2 linked regions of the Tribolium castaneum genome follow. The main gene of each other region encodes a partner of the protein of the gene in region 2 in a complex. Links are inferred from orthologs where the notes say so. Each region holds a gene or a part of one and is shown on either strand. Other genes may lie near its edges.

Region 1 (3,258 bases), about 6.5 Mb from region 2:
GACGTTTTTGTAAAAAAATTAATTCTCTACAACTTTTTTTCTAACATTTTTCTTGTATCATTAAACGTTTTAGCCGAAGTATTAGCAGAGTTTTGAAAAATTAAAAATTTTATAAATAATTTTCAGACTTTAGTCGTCAGTTTTTCTCAGCCTATTAAACATGCAAGCCTAAATGTTTTTGTATAATGTAAAAAAAATTATAATAGAAAATTAATCATTTGTACACAGCTTTATATTTTGCAAAAGACTGCAAATGTGGTTAAAGAGAAAAAGTAATAAAAATTGCTTTTGTGTTCCCTTGGTACGTAAAATAGCTTTAGCGGTTTTGAAGGTCTTAGGATAAAGATATGATGTCACCGAATTTTTTGTAGCAAATTAAATTCTTTCCAACTTCTCTCTTACGTGTTTCTTGTACATATCTTTAACAAGACTGGCGAAAGCGAAAGAATTTTTTTTTCATGTTTATTCTGTGCCAATGAGGAAGTCAAAGGTCAAATAAATAATAAGCGGTTTCGTGTCAACTATTTTATTGATATCAACTGTAAATATACATTCAATTAAAACAACTTACGCTTAAATCAACAAACTAGAAAAAAAATGGAATTTTCACTTATCGCTCTAATTTGAAACCAACCCCTAAACTTCGCAACTGACCGATTTTTCAGCGACTTAATAATACTTGGCTATAGTGAAACACGTAATATCAAAGTTTGCAACTTTGTACAGAAATTTATACAACACTTAAAAAAATATATTTAAAAAAGAAGATCTTCGTCTCCTTCATCTAGCAGATTAGCCACTTCAGCCGCCTGTTCGCGGGCTTTGTTATCGGCCTTTATGGCATCAGCTTTAGCACGCGCGACTTTCTTCTTATCTTGGATTTTTTTCAAACGGTAGAACTCCTCACGTTCTAGTTCGTCCAGTTCGGAGATAATGTAGGCCAAAGTGCGCTCAATCCTCGGGATAATAACTAGGAAAAAAATCACACACAAAAAACACAAAACAAAACTAATTACCGTGTTCAATAGCATTGACTCTTCTGTTCGTAATTTTGATAACTTCGTCTAGAGTGACGAAAGACGTTTGAAGTGACGCAAGCTCAACAAGAAGCTTCACAGCGCTTTGGTAATTCTTCTTGAGTTTGGCCAACTGCTGGCCACCTCTGGCCAAACCGGCCAGTTCGTAGGTGTCAGTCCCGTCCTGATAGCACTCAAAGACAGGCAAAGTCACACCTATACAACAAAAAAAAATAATCAATTGTAAAAAAAAATAAGCTAGGGCGCCCTAACCAGCCACATTATCTTTCTTAGTCCTGATTTTAATTTGGGCCTTTGTGACATTCTGCAACACGACCTGGTTGAAATCCCCAGTCGCAAATTTAGCCTCAGCCAACGAGAACGCCGCCTCTTTCATCACTTCGCCCATAAGTGTCTTGGTCTGAAACCCACATTGGGACAAAAAATCGATTTGAGATCAAACAAACCTCGATAATTTTGCTCAAAATCATACGGAAACGCATTTGCAACGCATCCGCCTTCTTTTTGAGCAGACTGTGGCCCTTCTGGGCCCCCTTTAGCCTCGCTTTCATTAACATTTGGGCCCTGAAAGAACAAGGGGTCACTCCCTTTTTTTTAACGAATTTTTTTCCGTCAAGCGTTAAAATCGGGATTTTACGCAATTGGAAAGCTACAAAAAGGGTGCTTACGTACCCTCGAGAGGGGAAAATCGCCAGTCTATCCTTCGAAGACATTTTTCAGCACTATTTTCATGTACTTCACGAGATCAGTCAGCTGACCGCGTGACATATGACAAGAACGCTCCCAGCGTCCTCTATTAAACATTAGTTCTAAACCATTTCTAAACCAACGAAACCAAAATTACGAAGGAAACTCAACAGATTTAGGCATGCTTTTAATTTATTCGTTTGACGGGAGAGTAATTATTGTTAAATTATGCAATTTGGCGTCCAAATAATCATTTTTGGTGCCGGTATAGTAGAAACCTTGACGTTACCGACGTTACGTAAGCTGTCATTTACGTAACCTCACATTTGGTGATGTAAAAAGCTTATGTAAACAAAATAATTATGTTTAAGGATTGTTTTAAATATTACAAGTCCAAAAATCCGCCCCCTGATTTGGAAAAAGTCTTTGATTTTAGTAACTGTGAGAAATTTTCGTCAAAAGCAAGTCTGGCAGTATTCTGTTTTTCATAATGAAAGGCAATTTTTAGGTCAGGAGAATTAATTTGGAAAAGACCGGCAATTCTGCCAGCAATTTTGGCCTAAACCCCGTAAAAACGTGGGAAGTGTACGAATTAGTTGACCATCCCGGTAACTAGAGTTGTAAAAAATTCACCTGCAATAAATAATTCGTTTCAAGGGCTGATTTTTATTAAAAATCCGTTCACCAGTATCGGGCAGAGGTACTGGGTGGTGCGTTGCTTGCAGGACTACTCAAAGCGCCCAAATAAGACGAACTTGGACGCTTTAAATTTAGTACCTGAGGGCAAGGAGTGGTGGGAAGTTTGTCAGAACAATAACAACAAAATATTAATGAACAAGTTGCGATGGGTCACTTTGGGTTATCACCACGATTGGGAGAGCAAAGTGCTGGGTCATAAAGCCCCGAGTTGAGCTAATTCAATTTTTTAGGTCTACGCTGAGGAAAATAAAGGAGAGTTTCCGAAAGATTTAGCCGAGTTGAGTAGATTTATAGCGGAGTCGCTTAACTTTTTGCATTTTAACGCTGAAGCGGCAATTGTGAATTATTACCACATGGACTCAACTTTGTCAGGTCACACTGACCATTCGGAACACAACTTAAAAGCTCCGCTTATCTCGCTTAGTTTTGGCCAAACTGCAATTTTTTTATTAGGAGGCAAGACTAAAGACGACGAGCCTTCCGCGATGTTTTTGCGAAGTGGCGATATTGTAGTAATGAGTGAAGAGTCAAGGCTGTGCTACCACGGTGTTCCTAAAATTTTACAAATGGATTCCAGGTTCTGGAACTGTTTTGAAGAAAATGATTTTACGAATGATTGCAAAAACGTTGTAAATATCTGTAAAGAGGAGACGTTATGGAAGCCGTTCGGCGACTATTTGAACAATTCTAGGATTAATATTAATGTAAGACAGGTGTTGCAAAGGGGCCAGAAACGGCTTTGTAGCGAATCTGACGAAAAAACGTGAAATAAAAAAATAAATACGAGATGGTATTTTTATTTTACATAAATAAATATTTACATGGGATTACATTT
Region 2 (3,071 bases):
CGAAAAAAACATTAAAGGTGTTGAGCACATTGGTTAACAAAACGGAAAAGAAAGACAAGAAACCAGCAGGGAAAAAAGTCCAATTTAAACCAGAAGTGGACGAAAAAGAAGCAACAGATAATGAACAGCAAATGCAAGACGAAGAGGCAAATGTTCCCGAGAATGGTTTGATTTTTGTTTGTTGCGATTTTTTAGTCATGTTTTGTTGTAGATCCTGGCAAGAGGGCTATAACTTACCAGATTGCCAAAAATAAGGGTCTCACGCCGCACAGAAAGAAGGAACAAAGAAATCCAAGAGTGAAGCATAGGAACAAGTTTAGAAAAGCAAAAATACGAAGGAGAGGAGCTGTATGTCAACTTTTAGTATTTTTTCTTAAATTTAATTGCGCTATTTTTAGGTTCGTGAGCCGCGAACCGAAATGACGAGATATGGTGGGGAGCTTTCCGGGATTAAAGCAAGTGTTTCCAAGAGCATTAAAATTAAGACTTAATAAAAACGCATATGAAACAACAATGCTTTTATTTCTGTTTACAATAAAACAATTTATTGTGCTATTTTCTAGCTAGTTCACTTAATATTAACACAGATAACTGTACAAGTAGCCGTTTGAATAACATGATAAAATATACAACATCGAAATATGCGTAAATAACGAAAAAATAAAATGTAAAGAAAAAAAGGTCCCGATAATACTGGAAAGCTGATAATTGCACGGAAACACGAAAATAAAAATTCCTTAAAAGTAACTGGAATGAAGGGACGAAATTTAGCAATTTACCCTCACCTCTAATCTATAGGACTTAGACCTATGAACTAATTCATTTATAAACATATTGTACATTAATATCGAAAGACGGCAATTTTATAGTGAGGTTAAATATACGGCCTACAATAAAACTAATTTAATCCTCCAAGTTCCTGAAGGCTTGTTGAATATCCTCGTACAACTGGTCAAAATCGGCTTTGATTTTCGCCTCGCCGTCTTTAACTGGGTCCTTGAACTTCATACTGCTCAACTGGTACAAAATATTGCTCATGGAATCCCTGATCACGGTCCACGTGATTTTATTTTCAGACTGCGCGGTGCTTTCAACAGCATGTCGCGACATATCGTACAAACCGATCATATTTTTCAACATACCCACCGTCTTGTAGAACGGACAGAACCTATCGTACGACGAGTACGAATTCTGTTGCAAGAAATCTTCCTTAAGCAACTTGGCAATCTCAAGAGTGATTTTATCGGTCTCGGCTAGGGAGGCTTTACCGACCAGTTGCACGATTTCGGACAAGTCTTCTTCTTCTTGCAAGATCTCCTTGACCTTAGTACGCAACGCGACAAACTCTTGGAAGTTTTTATCGTAGAAATCGTCCAAAGCGCGCGTGTATTTAGAGTAGGAAATCAGCCAATTGATCGAAGGGAAATGTTTACGTTGGGCTAGTTTTTTATCCAACCCCCAGAACACTTGTACGATACCCAAGGTAGCTGAGGTGACGGGATCAGAGAAATCACCACCAGGGGGCGATACGGCCCCGACAATAGAAACGGAACCTTCACGATCAGGGTTACCCAAGCATTTAACACGCCCTGCACGCTCGTAAAACGAAGCCAAACGGGCCCCCAAATACGCGGGGTATCCAGAATCGGCGGGCATTTCAGCCAAACGACCGGAAATTTCTCTCAAAGCTTCGGCCCAACGCGAGGTGGAATCGGCCATCATCGACACGTTGTAACCCATATCACGGAAATACTCAGACAGTGTAATACCGGTGTAAATTGAAGCCTCACGGGCGGCTACAGGCATGTTAGAGGTGTTGGCGACAAGAGCGGTACGTTTCATGATAGACTCTGTTTGGCCTTCGATTTCGACTGTCAGTTCGGGGAAGTCCCGCAATACTTCAGACATTTCGTTACCACGCTCCCCGCAACCGACGTAAATGATAACGTCAGAGTTGGAATATTTGGAGAGAGATTGCGAGATTACGGTCTTACCGCAACCGAAAGCTCCGGGAATGGCGGTGGTACCCCCTTGGACGCACCTAAATAAAAATTGGTAGAGAAAAGGGACTAGTTTTTGAAAGGGGGCTTACGGGAAAAGTGAGTCGAGTACGCGTTGACCGGTTAATAGGGGGTGATTGGCTGGCAATTTCTCGCTGACAGGACGGGGCTGACGCACAGGCCACACTTGCAACATGGTGTATTTGGTCCTCTCGCCGTCGAATTCCGTCTCCAAGACGACTTCCTGTAGCGTAATGATAATTTTTAATTTTTTCCCCAAATGAAAAATAATTAAAAGTAGTGGCTTTTTATAATTAAAATTAAATATTAAATTAAATTAAATTTTAATTATAATTAAAATTAAAAAACATTTGAACGTTCAAAGTTCCACAAATAATATCACAACTCAAAAATAGCTATTTCCGAAATATTTTCTCTAGCTAAACACGAAAATAATCAAAAAAGTTTTGATTAGCTCTTATTGTCAAGATACAGAACTTGCTTGGGTAATTAATCTCACCATGGCTGGTTTGTGTGAAATTTATTCTTAGCTTGATTCTCTATTTGACCTTTTCAATTAAGTTTCAAACATTTCTGGTCGTATACAGAACGAGAAATTAAGATATAATCCAGAATTAAAATAATTCGAATTAGGTAGCCATTAGTTTTGCATTGACAAACCTCGAGTTCATGGCAAATTAAATTTTAACTACAATCACAATTATCGTGATAACGTTTAAAAGTTTTTTTTGTTGTTTTGTTTTTAGATTAGATTTATTTATTTTTGTCAATTCCACATATTTTGATACTGGCTCTTTTATTATTATTATATTATTATAAAGTACTTACCTAAGAACAATTTAACACATTTTACTTATTAGAAAGACTCATTTCCTTTGAACAATTTTTGTATCGGTTTAGAGTAAAAAAATATTTAAGTCGACGTGTCCAAAGTTTCAGATGTCTGTTCGCCTCTATTATTATTGTTTTTTCAATTTTTTTTTAATTTTGGCTTAAATAACTATAATGTAATTAGTTATTTATTTAAACAATTTCCTCATAAAAATGTGA

The links. The genes of interacting proteins can lie anywhere in the genome.
Region 1: the proteins of V-type proton ATPase catalytic subunit A (region 2) and V-type proton ATPase subunit D are in contact, whole or in part, in a cryo-EM structure (PDB 9B8P), measured with the Rattus norvegicus proteins. The link is inferred for Tribolium castaneum from reciprocal best matches to the Homo sapiens genes ATP6V1A and ATP6V1D. Residues at the interface, in NP_001101788.1 of Rattus norvegicus: Ala366, Met368, Pro369, Ala370, Asp371, Ser372, Asp416, Ser418, Asp436, Lys438, Glu491, Gln494, Leu495, Val496; in NP_955418.1 of Rattus norvegicus: Lys4, Asp5, Arg6, Arg167, Ala171, Val175, Ile176, Arg179, Tyr186, Glu190, Arg194, Glu197, Tyr200, Arg201, Lys204, Ile205, Lys208.

What each region holds. Positions count from the first base shown.
Region 1 is NC_087402.1:2,631,136-2,634,393, reverse strand, and holds V-type proton ATPase subunit D, read right to left. Parts: upstream 1,862-3,258; 5' UTR 1,751-1,861; coding exon 1,710-1,750; intron 1,602-1,709; coding exon 1,484-1,601; intron 1,438-1,483; coding exon 1,290-1,437; intron 1,233-1,289; coding exon 1,017-1,232; intron 971-1,016; coding exon 756-970; 3' UTR 511-755; downstream 1-510. Other genes in the region: AlkB (nucleic acid dioxygenase ALKBH1), read left to right, coding at 2,087-2,185, 2,233-2,332, 2,382-2,608, 2,654-3,190. UniProt on the Homo sapiens protein: Subunit of the V1 complex of vacuolar(H+)-ATPase (V-ATPase), a multisubunit enzyme composed of a peripheral complex (V1) that hydrolyzes ATP and a membrane integral complex (V0) that translocates protons.
Region 2 is NC_087402.1:9,102,507-9,105,577, reverse strand, and holds the end of V-type proton ATPase catalytic subunit A, read right to left. Parts: intron 2,245-3,071; coding exon 2,093-2,244; intron 2,042-2,092; coding exon 904-2,041; 3' UTR 504-903; downstream 1-503. Other genes in the region: Sas10 (something about silencing protein 10), read left to right, coding at 1-165, 212-348, 399-491. UniProt on the Homo sapiens protein: Catalytic subunit of the V1 complex of vacuolar(H+)-ATPase (V-ATPase), a multisubunit enzyme composed of a peripheral complex (V1) that hydrolyzes ATP and a membrane integral complex (V0) that translocates protons.